Linked DNA regions of Lepisosteus oculatus. The protein of the gene in region 2 interacts with the protein of the main gene of each other region in a pairwise test. Links are inferred from orthologs where the notes say so. Each region holds a gene or a part of one and is shown on either strand. Other genes may lie near its edges.

Evidence for each region. The genes of interacting proteins can lie anywhere in the genome.
Region 1: the proteins of trip10a (region 2) and sh3bp1 interact in binary tests that used the Homo sapiens proteins (3 or more experiments, as listed by UniProt). The two-hybrid records come from large-scale screens. The link is inferred for Lepisosteus oculatus from reciprocal best matches to the Homo sapiens genes TRIP10 and SH3BP1.

The regions. Positions count from the first base shown.
Region 1 is NC_090707.1:38,318,109-38,325,710, reverse strand, and holds the start of sh3bp1 (SH3 domain-binding protein 1), read right to left. Parts: upstream 3,003-7,602; 5' UTR 2,629-3,002; coding exon 2,582-2,628; intron 1-2,581. Other genes in the region: pdap1a (pdgfa associated protein 1a), read right to left, coding at 7,412-7,446. UniProt on the Homo sapiens protein: GTPase activating protein (GAP) which specifically converts GTP-bound Rho-type GTPases including RAC1 and CDC42 in their inactive GDP-bound form.
Region 2 is NC_090706.1:15,204,469-15,212,149, reverse strand, and holds the start of trip10a (cdc42-interacting protein 4 homolog), read left to right. Parts: upstream 1-4,676; 5' UTR 4,677-4,989; coding exon 4,990-5,013; intron 5,014-7,681. Other genes in the region: microfibril-associated glycoprotein 4-like, read right to left, coding at 580-762, 1,112-1,208, 1,578-1,763, 2,521-2,721. UniProt on the Homo sapiens protein: Required for translocation of GLUT4 to the plasma membrane in response to insulin signaling. Required to coordinate membrane tubulation with reorganization of the actin cytoskeleton during endocytosis.

The DNA of each region.
Region 1 (7,602 bases), on a different chromosome or scaffold from region 2:
TTCACTTTCCACGTTAGCCTTTACAAAAAAAAACAATTTCTCGTGTTTTTAAGGTAATGAAACACTTTAAAAGACATCCTGCAATTGAAAGATAAGCTGAAACTTTTTCCTCTGCCCTGCATTGTGTGCAGAATATATGTATAGCACCAGGCACTGTTCTATCTAGGTCACAGATCACGCATCTTTTATTACTGTTTCATTGTGCGAGTGGTTTTGATATTTCTATTAATAAAAGCCACCCACTTCAGCCTCCTGCACTGTTCTGCGAGCTGCCCTGTCAAGATGACATCACCTGAGCCGAGCCCCGGCCACGCCGCGTGGCTGCCTCTGGCTCGCGGGGGGCACCTCAGGGTCCTCCACTTACACGGCTCACGGTCTTGCTCGTCTGGGACCATGGATGTTGTAAACTGCTTTTACAGCACAACAGGCCGGGGGCATCAGCGAAGACAAGCAGAGGAATGACTGGGGGCCACTCCGAACGGTCTAATCGCCCTTTGCCAGCAGGGGGTTGTGCAGAAGGACTAGGAGGGGAGGCACCACCCCCTCCACTGTGAACTCGCATGGCAAGGGTACTGCGCAGGCGGAACAGCGACAGACTCGGGACGCTGGGCGCCTGTTTCTGTTGTAGCCGCTGTGCTGGAGAAGAAGTCCCCCCCAGGGGAGAAATGATTCAACCCCCGACTCCGCAGATCTGCCAACGGCCCGGCTCCGGAGGCTCGACCCGGGAGCCGTGCAGCTCCTCGCGCAGGTTCCCACTCGGCAAGCTGTTTCACGCCCCAGAAACCACCGGGGTTTCGCTTCAGTCAACCGGCTGAGCCGCTGAGCTCAGAGCTGGGGTGACAGCCAGGGCACCTGCGCCCCGGTTCTCCACCGAACCAGACCGAGCTGCGCCCCACACTTCAGGGGCAGGACTGCTCATCAATGCCGGTTTATGGGCGCCTACCAATGTGATCAATCCTCAGATCAATCAGCTCCTAGCTACCAGGCAGGCTGTATGGGACTAATGGCCTCCTGTTGTCTCTAACCTTTCTGATGCTCTCTGTGCCACACGGACCAGCAGAATGACCTCATTAAGCACGGACGCACTTGGCGCCGAGTCCAGAGACTGGGGAAGGCCAGGGAGAGGAAGATGATGATGATGATGATGGAGTGGACCAGCTGCTGCTCCCCTCCGACAGGCCGTTTTCAAGACCAGTAGGCGGGACACAGGACGTCAAATAGCGCCACCGTTTTGTAAACACCACCCTTTGGAGACCAGCGAACAACAGCACCGAAGGGCGGCCATGTGAGAAATCACAATGACGTGACTCATCACGCGCCCCGGGCAGCCGGCCGGTCAGCCTGGACGAGTGTCCGGTGGCTCAGGCTCTGACCCCGTGCCCCGGAGAGCCCCAGTGTCCGAGCTCCGACAGACGCCTCCGGTTCCACTCAGCTGGCAGCTCAGGACAAGGGCTCCTCTGCCGGCGTTAAGGACTGTGAAAGTATTTGGGTCCGTGATCAAATCATCACCTGGTGCAGCGCCAGGTGGAGAGAGGGATGATAAAGGACCAACGAGTTCAAGCCTCTTCCTCTCAAGCTGTCTGGGAGTCAGGAGCCCCAGTCCTGGTCCAGGTAACAGCTCCAGCCCCAGAACCTGGTCTTGCAGACACTGCCCGTCACGGGCCGAAGACCCCAGTATTCCTGCCTGCCTGGACTGGTCACTGACTCGATAACAGACAGGCAGCAAGGCCAGAGTAGAGGCCAGCTCCGCAGGACAGTTCCAGCCCAGGTACCTGGATCTGAACAGCGGAGGAGGAGACTTGCAAGGAAACAGAAAAGCCCGACACTCCTTCCCTCGTCCGGGCCAGCACGGACTCAGAGACAGCACGGGGCCCTGGCCATCTGACACACTTTAAAACTGTTCCCACAGATGACACAGAGCGCAGGGAGGGGTTCGTGCGTCTTTAAGTTGACTGAAGCAAGCGGATCTCTGCAAGCCTGCGCGCCTGCAAGCCCTGCGAGCATGCACTGCAGTTTGGAGAAGTGGCAGCAGGGGATCACGAAAGTGCTCTTGCTTTGTGCTGTGCAGACCGCAGTGTCAGCCAGGCTGCAGCAGCTCCAGGCGTCACCGGGGCTTCCTGGGCCCTGGGATAATCCATCCTGCTCCCAGAGGACTCCACACATCCCCGGAGACAACGCCGTTCTGGCACCAGCGCAGACGGCAGGTTTGCACAACACCCTAATTAAAGGCTAACTAACTTACCACAGACAGCTCAAGGGGTAAGGTGGGAAAGAGTGGGTTGGCATCTTTTTCCCCCAGAATTCCCTCGCCCCGCGAGTGTCAGTATTGTCCCCTCCTCTCTAGCACCTGGACGATCAGCCAGCTCGACGCATCAGCTCCCCACTCCCCTCGGCCCAGGCCCTTCGGGCAGAGCGCAGGCCCAGGCCCACTGTGCTGGCAGGATGTTTTAAAAGGGGACCGAGCGCGAGGCGAGCCCCTCCAAACCAGACCCCCTTCCCAGGACCTCTCGGGCGACCCGAGCGGCTCGCCGGCGTCGCCCAGAGCAGGCAGAACAGGTAGCACGGCGGCGGCCGGACTTACTTCCCCCCTGTGGTGAACTGCTTCATGCGATTCAGCTGCTTCAGCATGATGGCTTGGAAGAGGAGCCTCTCTCCGTCCGTCTGTCTCTCTCTCTCTCGGGGGTCGGCCACCGTCTGGACGGGCTGGACACCAGGAGCCACCAGCCCCGCTCCGCCGCCTCTGCGCTTAACTGCTCTCTCCGGCCCCCCCAGCCCCCAGCGCTCTGCTCTGCTCTCCCCCGGCAGCGGCTCGGACTCCTAGTTCTTGTTTTCGCCTGCTTGCTGAATGGCGACGCGCACGCCTGCACACACACACAGACACACAGACAGACGCACACACGCACACGGAGCACCGCAGTCACTGCAAAAGAGGAAGTCGCCCTGCACGGGGAACAGGAAGAGAGCTCGGTGATCTCATGGCAGAGCAGAAAGCAACGTCTTTAGCAGAGAGGCATTCGCTCCGAGAAAACAACAGAAAGAGCGAACAGGGAGGAGGGGGTGTCCATAGAACTGGGGTTCAGGCAGGATCACAAACCCACCCGCCCTGACACATCACCCCCTTTCTGTAAGCTGCGGACGCGCCACTGTTTACCGCCTTTTCTGCTCAGAGCAGGAGGGGAAATCGACTGACCACAGTCACCTTTAATAATAGCATGCCTATTAAGATAAATTAAGCAGGCTGTGTGGTCTCGGGTTCGGTGAAGGTTAAAAGAGAAACACGCACGCACGCATGGCTGAAGCCCGGTCTTTCCTGAGACTTAGCAACGGGGCGGAACCGGGCCCCGCTGGGCCTGCTCGAGGTGAGACGAGCAGCAGGGGCAGAGAGGGAGCGAGGAGGCCTCAGACCACAGCCCCAGCGAGAAAGGAACGGGGGCCGCCGGCCTGGGGGGAGTCCAGACAGGCAGCAGGAAGTGGACACACACAGAAGACGCTCCACTCTCCAGGGTCCTTCCCCCCACACCAGGCAGGATGTCACACGGCTGTAACTGGCGAGATGTTGTCTCACTCCCTGCCAGGGTGTATCTCACACGTGCAGAAGGGACCGAACTGTGCCGCTGGGCTACAGTTACAGTACAAGACGCCACAGGCCTCATGAGGAAGGAAACCATGTACCAGAGAAAGCTCCACAGAGCCGAGCGGTGAGCGTACTGATTGAACAGACAGAACCCCTCTCCCGGGCAGATCAGTAGTGCCATCAACAGCTTCGACGCAGCTATGAGCACTGAGGGCCAACCCTCCTTTTTTTTATTGCAATTTCTGTGCTTTTCAGGGACTTGCAGGCTTCGAAGAGCAGCCCCTGCTTCTGTGGGTTGCACAATACCGTCAGAAATAGCACAGGGCTTCTCAGAAGGCAGGCCGTTACCAGGCTGAGCAGCAGCAGGCAGGCGAAGCTGAGAACTGACACCATATCGTGACAACGATACGAGCTGGTATCTCCCACTCCCCGTTCTCTCTCCTTCTCCTCCCCATCTCCCCTCCCGCCCCCACCCTGAAGCCAGCGGCAGAAATCTGCCCCTCTTGCCCTTATACCCCAGCCCCCGCCTGCTTCAGGGAGCTGCCCCTCCGCCGAGCTGGAACTGTGCACCCTGTGGGAGGGGTCCGGGCGCCAGGAGAGCAGCCAGCGTGAAGGGTGTAAAACTGTCAGTGACGTGGGAGTGACTGACCGAGGGCACCGACCTGAGACAGGCATTTCTACTCCGCCTGTGCGGGGCCAGCTCTCGCTGCCCGGGGACTGCAGGACTTCAAGAGCAAGCAATGCAGCTCGTCTGAAACTCTGGGCTACGTTACGGCCACAATGCCCTCATCTGCGGCGTACTCATGACGAGTAACTGAAGCTAACCTGGAGCACGACCAACTGCACCCCTCAGTGTAGGTGATATAGCTCCACCCCTGTGCCCCTCACAACAGGTGCTATAGCACAGGTGCACCCCTCAGAGCAGGTCCTGTAGGTTCTATAGCTCCACCCCTCAGAGCAGGTCCTGTAGGTTCTATAGCTCCACCCCTCAGGGCAGGTCCTGTAGGTTCTATAGCTCCACCCCTCAGTGTAGGTGCTGTAGGCCCTATAGCTCCACCCCCACACCCCTCAGCGCAGGTCCTGCAGGTCCTGTAGGCCCTATAGCTCCACCCCCACACCCCTCAGCGCAGGTCCTGTAGGCCCTATAGCTCCACCCCCACACCCCTCAGGGCTGGTCCTGTAGGCCCTATAGCTCCACCCCCACACCCCTCAGGGCAGGTCCTGTAGGCCCTATAGCTCCACCCCCACACCCCTCAGGGCTGGTCCTGTAGGCCCTATAGCTCCACCCCCACACCCCTCAGGGCAGGTCCTGTAGGCCCTATAGCTCCACCCCCACACCCCTCAGGGCAGGTGCTGTAGGCCCTATAGCTCCACCCCTCAGGGCAGGTCCTGTAGGCCCTATAGCTCCGCCCCCACACCCCTCAGGGCAGGTCCTGTAGGCCCTATAGCTCCACCCCCACACCCCTCAGCGCCGGTCCTGTAGGCCCTATAGCTCCGCCCCCACACCCCTCAGGGCTGGTCCTGTAGGCCCTATAGCTCCACCCCTCAGGGCTGGTCCTGTAGGCCCTATAGCTCCACCCCTCAGGGCAGGTCCTGTAGGTTCTATAGCTCCACCCCTCTGGGCAGGTCCTGTAGGCCCTATAGCTCCGCCCCCACACCCCTCAGGGCAGGTCCTGTAGGTTCTATAGCTCCACCCCTCTGGGCAGGTCCTGTAGGTTCTATAGCTCCACCCCTCAGGGCAGGTCCTGTAGGTGCCCAGACTGCATCTGAGGGATCGCACTCAGTCTTGGCAACAGGCTTCAGCCACCCGGCTCTCACAGGCAGCTCTTCCTCCTTCTCGGCAGACAGCAGGCCGCAGGAGGACGGGACTTGAGAAAAGGGGAAACGGGAGCAGCTCGCTTCCAGCCCCCCCCCGACCCCCCCGGACCACAGGCCCTGCGGCAACTGCAGCGCTGCTCGGAGAGGCCCAGCGACGCGCGCGCACCAGAGGCGAGAGCGTCTGCATCACGCAAGGGAAAACTTCCCCAAGCGTAGGGCGTGTTGCAATTGTCAGCGACTTGCACAACGGCTTCCCAGCCCACCTGACGGACCCCCGCCAGCTCCAGACACTCCAGCTTTGCGCCGCTTAAGCCAAACTCTGCACCAGTTTACCAAGTGGGGAATAAAACACAGGCCTGAAAACCGGCCCCTCGGTCATTAGGCAGACAAGCCTCACCCCTTCTTTTTCATTGAAATAGAAATAGGGAACAAGCAGAACGGGGGTCCGGCCCTTAACTGCTGGAGGGACCAACATCCCCCGACTTCAGTCCCTTGCTGCATAACTGAAATACCTCAAGCCCAGCACCATGGTGTTTAAAAATAACTTCTCGCAAACCAAAACATTTGGTTTATCAAGTCTCAAAGATGTAATAAACCCCCCCTCTTTGCAAACCCGTTTAACTAGAAGCCCATTCCAGACCCTCCAGAGGCCTGGAAGACCAACTCCTGCTTCCGCAGTTGAGGAACTCCTGTTCTGTGACTGTACGGTGCCACCTGGTGGACAAACTCAAAACTGCACCCACTTAGGCACAGGTGCAATTAACTTGATTATTGCACAGACCCACACAGACACTCCCTCCACTCTCTGGGCTGCACAGAAAAGACAGGAAGCCGCAGAAGAGGTGGAGGCATAGGATAAACCCAAGAATTAGATATCAATTAAATAAAAGCAGCATTCTCAGTTATTTTTTATTATTCTCTTTACACAAGAAACCCCCCCCGCTGCCCGTCTCAGTCAGTTAAAAAGTCCAACACAATGCAAAACCAGTTTCTCAGATGGCTTGTATTAAGTTAAATATTCAGTCTTGAAAAGAGAAAGCCGCTTAAAGTTACATTAAAATACAGGTCTTCCGTTGGCATCAGAGTGGAGCTCGATCCCCGGTGCAGGAGCAGCTGGACCCCCCGGGATGACTGTGTGGGACGCGCCCGGCCCGCCCTGCGGCGCGGACAGGGGGCGGTAATACTGCAGGGGGTCAAGGAAGCCGGCCGGAGGAGAGCTCGATCAGGCTCCTGCTCCCCGTTCACCGCAGGTCAAACGGCTCTCCCCATGACAGACCGGACCCCCCCCTCCCACCCCCGGACTGTACAGCAGCGAGAGCTAGACCAGACCCCCCAGCCCCCCCAGTGACCCCCCGCCGCGGGTCCGGCAGAGCCGTCGGCCCCGGACTGCCACCAGCTGGCGCCGGGCCCCGCCGTCCCGGGAGCCGGAGGAATCCCAGCCGGCCGCGCGAGGGGGAGATTCCGGAAGGGCCAGGGGCCGCCGGAGACCAGATTTCCCACCAGGACATGGCGGCCCCCCGCCTCCCACCCGCCCAGCTCTCCCGGCGGAGACCCCGCCCCCCGCGCCGGGGTCGGGAGGAAGGGGTCGGCGGTGAAGTCGGATCGCGGCGCTGGTTCCCCTTGGTCCCGGTTCCGGCTGTCCCCACACCCCCAGACCCTCCCCCCACAGATGTAAACCATTAAAAACTCTGGAAGAAACTGGGAATGAACACACTTCCAGCAGCAGTAACTGAAGAGGAGCTGGTGGTGTGCGTGGGGGGGGAGGGGAGGGGAGGGGAGAGGGGGGGGTCACTCTCTAGTCTCCGGGATTGAACAGCACAGGGGGTGTCCTTCCTCTCTTCCTCCTCTCCCCAAGTCACCCCGGTCCCGCCACACAAAGCACCCCCCCACACCCAGCCTGCCAGAGGAAAGTGAAGGGGGGGGTGGGCAGACTGTGGACACCCCAAGCCTTACCCTCCCACCCCCCCACCCACCGGTCCATCACACCACCCCCAAATTCCCCGTCGCGGTGGGGGGGCCCTAGCGCTTGGACTTGGCTTCGGCCTCTTCTTTCACTGAAACAGAGAAGCGGGAGAGAGAGAGAGCCACAGAGGCGCGTGAGTGAGGCGGGGACAGGGCTCCCACAAACCTGCCGGACCGAGACCAGATCAGAGCCAGCCAGGCCCGGGTCCAGAGAGAGAGAGCCGGCAGAACCGGCCAGCAACAGCACA
Region 2 (7,681 bases):
TATCTCAGCATATTTAAATTTGCTGAAATGTGCTAAATTTGAGAAGGATTTCTTCGTCTTCGTTTCCACAGATATTCAGAAAACAACTGCGACATCCGAAGTGAGAGACCGCTACGTTCAAGAAAATCAGAGTTCAGCATCTCTGGAGGTTTTCTTAAGGTTCTCACTTAATTAGAATAATGACAAAAGGGCTTCTTTCAAGTGTGTTCTTCCTGTAAATGTTACTGTGCTTTAGTCGAGCACAAATAATAAAGTGCTTCTCAGGAAGAGAACGTTGGAGAGTAGGACACAGGGTGTAGTCTGGCAGATTCTTTAGTTGATCGCCCAAGGAAAGGCTCCATGGGGTGACCAGGGCATGTCCTAGTTGTGTCAGTACAGGAGGTTTCAGGTTCAAATCTAAGCTGAGCCACTTGCAGCTCATCCTTTTTTCCTGTGAAGCTGTCATCTGCAGCCCTCATCTCTTATTAACAGCTATGGAGCTGCATGGCAGCACCAAATTGCGAAAGAGGCACTCTCTGAAAGAGGATCTCTGAAACGAACGGATAATTTTACAGCACGTTCTCTTGAGAAATGACCCACCTGCTCCCCCATCTTGGAAACCGCTGATATGGAGTGTGTAGCCATCCACTTCGGCATTGACTGCCAGGGGAGAGAGGGAGAAAGAGGAGTAACTGGCATGGGCTCTACCCCCTTCGAAGTCCTGCAGGTCCACCCTGAGCTCGTACTTCTTCCGCAGGGTGAGGAGGTGGATGGTTTCCAGCCCTGCGGAGAGGTCACAGATCAGAGGACGGTTACGATAAGTCACACCTTGCTGCCTGGCTCTATTCATCCGATGGCATTCATCTATAATTTCTGTTCACAGTCACCGACGTGAAATCGGAAACATTCTCACTTGTGTTCTTTCAAAAATTAATGAAATGCTGTACTTGTAGGACAAGAGAATGGTTCAATAAGCCCCCCCCCCCTCTGAATGCAGACTACAGCATGGAAACAGAAAATGCCGTGCAGTGTTCCTGCTCAGAGAGGTTGATTGTGTGGGAATTAGACGTGAGCTCTGCACGGCGAGGCTGCCCCTGAGCGAGAGTGCTATCGGGAACGAGGAAGGCATTACCCAGCCAGTACTCCCCAGCCGCGTGGCCAAACCCCCTCCTGTATTGCTCCCAGCCTCTGTAGAAATTCAGCGTGCCATCTGTCCTTCTCTGAAATACCTGCAGACAAGAGTTCAGGTAGAGTAAGGGAAAGCAAGCCAGCCGCAACCCAGGCAATATCGAAATTGCTTAAAAAGCAAAATGCGGACATGATTCTCATCTATAACAGTATGTGTTTAAAATTCCTATGAATGTAATGACAGTGTGTGGGATTACCGTCATCCCTGGGTTATTAAAGATGCAAGGAAATTACTTTTTTGATGCACATGACATCTTGTTTCCCACAACTGAATAGAGCGCATAATAAAATGAAGTGCAGCTCCTACAGCAAAATTCAGAAAGTCCAGCAAGCTTGTCTGGCGCCGGTCAAGCTCTCCTTCAGACACGGAGTTTGCAGGATGGCACAGCGCCCCCCCCCCCGCAGTTTACAGTCCATTTGCCCCCCTCGGTGTCCATGTCACAGTAGACGTAGACGGGGGAGGTGGATCCGGCAGGGTATATTCTGTACACCCCGCTCGCTGTGGAGCCATCGTTGTAGATGTCAGCACAGTCCAGGGGCTGGAACATCAGAGGGTGAACTGCTGCTGGCAGCAGGGCTGCGAGGAACAGACAGGCCTGGGACAGGGGGAGAGAGGTCAGAGACACACGGCAGGGAGCACCCTTAACCCTCATCCTCGCTGGGCGATGAATATTGTTCTACGCTTCCTTTGTCTTGGAGACGTTTAAAAAAGCAAGTCTGAGCAACCTGTTTGGAGCATGGTATGGGGTTTCAGCAAAGTATTTTTCTAAGTAATTTGGGTAGGGGAATAAGAATTGAAGTGTAGATTTTATTTGATAAAGAAACAGCACACTTAATCTTGTGTCAGGGCTAAGGAATGACACCATCATGGTATGACACAGAGGTTGTGGGTTGCCGCAAAAGCTCAGTAACCCAGTAAATGTCATTGGCCTTGTGTTGCAATTTTATAAGGCAAAGTGTGAAAACGATTTTTCGGCTCACCTGGAGATCGTACTGACGTTGCAGGCAAAATACAATATAAGGCAGTTCGGAATGAGTCCTTAAGTGTGGGTTTCACAGAAGAGGGGGGTTAACCCTGCCCACCTGCCTTGTGCACACTGGGCGGGATTGACCCTTGTGAGGATGGAGGTCAAGGCCATTCATCTCTCAAAATGAGTCTCCAGGTCCCTTCTCTTACCTTCTGCAGTCACAGGAGCGGTGAAGTTCATAGGAGCGCTCTTACCTTCATTCTGCGGTCTGCACGGCTTACAGCTCATGTCTGTGCACCCGAACTGCCCTTTTTTATAGCCCCACAGAATGTGACAGGAGGTGTGATTCGCAGGGCTGAACAAACAAATACTGTGAATAAGTCACCTGTTTGCGTTGTGCCCTGAAGGACAAGTTGCTTTTGGTAAAGGGGTGTGTTGCTGGGCCGTCAGCATGCTGCTGTGTTTCCCACCCGCTGGACAGCTTCGCTGGGCATCTGTTCATTGCTGGGTGATCGTTAAGCTCGTTAATCTCTCCCGTGGCTCTGTGGGGGAAGAGTTTGTGTGCGTTGCTGTGCAAAGGCTTCATGGAGGTTCGTCTTTCCACCCAGAGATCCTGAACTCTCCTGACGTCAGGCTTTCTGGGGGAAGTGTAGGTCTGGCAATCTACAAAAAGAGGTCATCTTTTCAAGGTGGCCAGGACGCACGCGGGAAGGAAGAGTAGTCTAGACCACAGGCTCCCCGCCGAAAGGCTGCGGGTTGGACTTCTTCTGCAGACGTTGTTGCAGAGTTTGCAAAGTCCAGCCTCCCCTAGTGGTGTCAGCTGGTGATGCAGTTTCGCACCCCGGCGCCTGAGGAGGGGGCAGCACTAGGGGTGGATGAGCCGGGTGGGACCCCTCCTCTATGGGCCGAACCCTGGGATAAATGCCAGGGCTGGGGTAATACCCTCGAGCGCACCACTGCTTTTCCAAATCCTCTTCAACTCCATCCGCATTCTTCTGCAGTGAACAGTGCTTTCGTCCTGCTTCCAGTCAATAATAAAGACGTAACTCTGTCACTTAGCAATTGGTGTTTTTATTGGTTTAATTTTCAGCGTGGTTTCGAAAAAAATCCTCATGAATGCATTTTTCACATTGGTTTTCAGGTTGGGAGACGACATGCATTCAAAAATTTAAAATCACTTGCCTTTAAGGTGCACATCAGTTCCGCATATGAGCTAAAATTGCTTTTGACAGTGAGTCGAAGAGTGGGGTGTACAGGAAAATGTCTTCACTAAATGCATGAAAGGTTTGCATCTCAGGGCTATTTTGGGCGAATGCACAAACTGTGCAAGTGAACTGAAGAAGTGTTGTTGATAACGAGGGCAGGAGGACATTTGTCTGACCTTCTTGCACAGTAGCGTGTTGGAAGTGTAATTTCCACTTTTTGCCGCAAGATGGAGCTTTCTGCACATCACGCACATCCCAGATTCACAGTGCTTCGTACTTCACAGAACATTAAAGTTTGAATAGTTTACAAATTAGAAAAATTGACGAAAAAACTTTAAAACACACAGAATTATCGCGTATTTACATTCTATGAAGATATTCAGTATATTTCCAGTCACCCTTCTTCTTTGGTTGCTTGTAATTTATTGATCAGAGTGTCTCAGCCGGCAGATTCATAATTGTTTACTCATCATATATAATACCGCCGAGCGGGTTGTTCCAGACACTCACCACCCTCGTTGTAAAGAAGCATTCATCTCGTCTGTATCAAAACACATCAGTTTTCTGATAGCTGTTAGTTTGTAATCTGCTATGTATGTCGTGTCGCCGCCAACCAAATCGGATTTCACACGAGGGATGGCCACCTTGACAAACGCACGACAGGCTCTGTGGATGGTAATTGTTGTTGTGAGTCTTAATTGAATAATGTCCCCTTCATTGTTCCTGTGGATTATTATGATCGCATTTACCTTCTTTCAATCGCGTTTTTAAAGCAGGCTCCAGCTCAGGTTCGTGGTGTCGTATTCCGCGCCACCGCTAGGCGGAGCTGTGGTGAAGCTCCTATCGTACCTCTCCAGGTGGCTCAAACTCAAATCCGTCTTCTACAATCCCGGGAGCTCGACTGTCCCACCTAATCTCTGTGCGCCCAAAGCAGATAAGACGTCTCACACACAAGCACTTCGGTATTTGCTGTTACTCGTGAGGAAACTCACGTTTCCCACCGGAAGCACGGAATCGCTTGAGCCAGCGTATACAATGAAATAAGAGGCTCATCTATCCCTAAATTAAAACGCACAAAAGAGAGTAGAATCGTATATTAACACAATAATACCGAAGTGTTTGTGTGTGAAACGTCTTGTTATTAAACGAAAGGGTACAAAAATAAGGTATAAAGAGTTATTTTTACTCTTTCGTTTAATAATACGACTTTCCTTAATCGTATTTTTGTTCACTGTTATTAAAAGCAGAGTGATAACTTTTTCCAGTTTTTGCGCGTTAATCGAAACACGGCAACAGCGATAGGAAACGGCTCCAGCCCCTGGTCTGTAGCTGATAGGCGCGGCAGCAGAGCGCACCGCCGAGTCAACACGGGGTCGCCTTGCGCCGAGCAGGAATTACTGCCCGGCCCCTTTAAGGATTGAGGATCTGGGAGTGACGCGGATACGAGGGCTGGAACATCCCACCTCGCTTTGCGACTGCGAGACGAGGCGCAAGAGCGAAGGGAAAAAATGTTTGATGTCGCTTAATCAGGGAAGAGTTTATCCATCGATCTCTCGGTTTTGTAGCGCTCATATATCGTCTCTTCGGGATATACTGTGCGGCGGGTCGTGACACTTCTGGACTCCTGCAAACTCCCAGGCGTTGTCGCGATGGACTGGGGCACGGACCTTTGGGTAAGTTTAATCCTCTTGCTATTTTTTACTTTTGTACTGGAGTTGAAATGAGATGCATATTTTTTTTCTTTTCTTTGAAGTTTAACCGCCCCCCCCACCCCAGCACAACACAACACAACACACGCGCAGCTCTTTTGACTAGAAAGGCGGATTTCGTTTTGATTTTTCATGCTCTGCTGGCTAAATTGGCGAGCCTTGTCCAAAAGACTTTTATAAAGTCGTTCAACTGAAAAAAAAACAACAACCTCCAAATCTTTTGTTGTTCTTGTTGGCCCGGATACACCCCATCAAGTTGATGGGAGTTACCTCAATCAATTAAGGTTACCTTAACCTTAAACAGTGTCCGCTTTTGTGTTTGTTAGGGAAGTTTTTTTTGGGTCAGTGGGGTACTTAATTGTAGGCTAGGTTGCTGCTCGTCTCTTCTGTCTTTGGCGCAAAATAGGTCAACATGTTAAAAAGTTAACGTTGGCTCTTAACGTGGTCAGTAAAACGTGCTCTTTATTATAAAGGGTCGGCGTGGGTGCTGCCGTTGCCTGCCCTGCAAACACAAAACAGCTGACCGTGATTTTTTTTTTAATCGTTCAATAAAGCCGATCCTATTTTAGATGGGATCGAATCTGTACGATCATACGCACGCAGAAACTGTAACTGTAGAAGAGAAAAAAAACACACAACCTTTCAGGCCACATATTGAACAGAACACGTATTGCGGCTACCCGGGGCTCGCCTTGTAATTTGCTAGATATTTTTAAATGCGCGGCGAGTCCAAGTCCGCCGCATCCTGCGCGCTGCGTGGATGTGGGCTTGTCGTGATGTAGTAGCCTGCAGGGCAGACGCGTCCCCCGTGACGAGCTGCAGCCCCGATCAGTGGTTACAAACGCGACACAGCGCAGGGTCTTCTTAGACCGTCACCCTCTAATTAAGTCGCACTACCGCTGGGCCGAATAAGTCTCCTCTTGCAAGGCGGCGTGAGTGTCCCGACAGCAGCATGTTTTGTCACTAAGGTCTGTGACATGGTACATTATGTAAAAGTTGTGGGAGTTTTACTTCCGAGCAGTCGTCAGACGTCTTGCTGGGTGAAGTTTTTCGGACGTGTCACGTTTTTTTTTTTACCCCTGCGGGCGGTCTGGGTTTGGCCTGTTAATTGGCCCTCGTTGGGCTCCGTGTTGCGAGGTTAATAAAATTGTCTTTTTCGGCCCGTTTCCGACATCGGATCCCTGTTATTGTTATTATTACTACTACTCCTGCTGTGCCGGAGAGGAAACGGCGACTCCCAGTCATTTCCCTTGTTCGTGCCTTGCGCCGTACGTGATGCCCAACTGCGCGCCCGGCTTCACCCTGGATGTCGCGGTTTCTCGTTTTGTCTCCACGGACTGTTACCTCTCCTCCGAACCACTGGGCTTATTCTCTCGCCTGGCTTCAAGGGTCAGGTCCTAAAAGGCGGCAGTGGCGATTGGGGTCTGAAGTGTCTGGAGAGAGACTGGACCACAGTTCCCACACCAGTGCCCTCAGTATCCTGGCTGGAGACGCTGTGCTGTAGGACGTGAAACCAAAGTCCCGCCAACTTGGTCATTAAAGATCCCAGGGCGCTCTTTGCAAATAAGTAGAGTAAAAGTTAAAAAAAACTGGCTCAAGGACCCCCCCCCCCCATGCCCTGGATAAATTCCAGCACTCTGGGCTTGAATAGTTTGGCCTCTCAAAAGTTCCTGCTTAATGCAGCTGGTGGAACAGTTCCTCACTCGCCTCCCCTGTCAGTCCAGTGAGAGGTAAAGTGCATCACTCCTTCCTCGGGACGCTCTTTGGGTTGGAATGCTCTCTATAATCGCAGGTCATTTTCATCGAAGGGAGCATCAACAGTGCCAATCGGCTGTGAAGGGCTGGTGAAGTTCACACTGGGGCAGCTTGTCGAATATAGAGCAACCTCAACCCGCCAGCACCACTCCCCCCCCCCCCACACACAAACAGGTCAGGGGTCAAAGGAGGTCAAAGGTCGCTATCCCTTCAGTGCAGAGCTGGAGCTGCTGACTGTCCAGCCTGAGGAGATGAGATTTAAGACTTAAGAGAGATGCTCTGAGCTGACTCCGGGGTGCAGGCAGGAGTCTGGAGTCTGGCTCGGCTTCGCCTTGCATCAGGGTGGCCCACCCCTCCATGTCAAAGAACTGTTCGATATTGAATCAGGCGCTGAACTGACTGGAGCAGATTGTTTTCCCCCCTGTGTTTATGAGCACCAGTGTGGTTCCACTGCTCTTACCCCCTATAATAATAATTTCTTACACTTAGTGCTTTTCTGGACACTCCACTCAAAGTGTTTTCCTGGTAATTGGGAATCCCCTCCACCACAATGTGCAGCCCCACCTGTCTGACACAATGGCAGCCATAGTGCACCACTTGGGGAGGAGAACAGAGTAACGAAGGGGAATATTAAGAGGGCGTGATTGGTAAAGGCCAGGGGGGAAATTTGGCCAGGACACCAGGGTCACAACCCCCTACTCTTTACAAGAAACACCCTTGCATTATTAATGACCGCAGAGACTCAGGACTGCGCTTTTTAGTCTCATCTGAAGGACGGCGCCTTTTTACAGTATGGTGTCCTCACCACTATCCTGGGGCATTAGGACCCACACAGACTGCAGGGTGAACGCCCCCTGCTGGCCCCACTAACACCTCT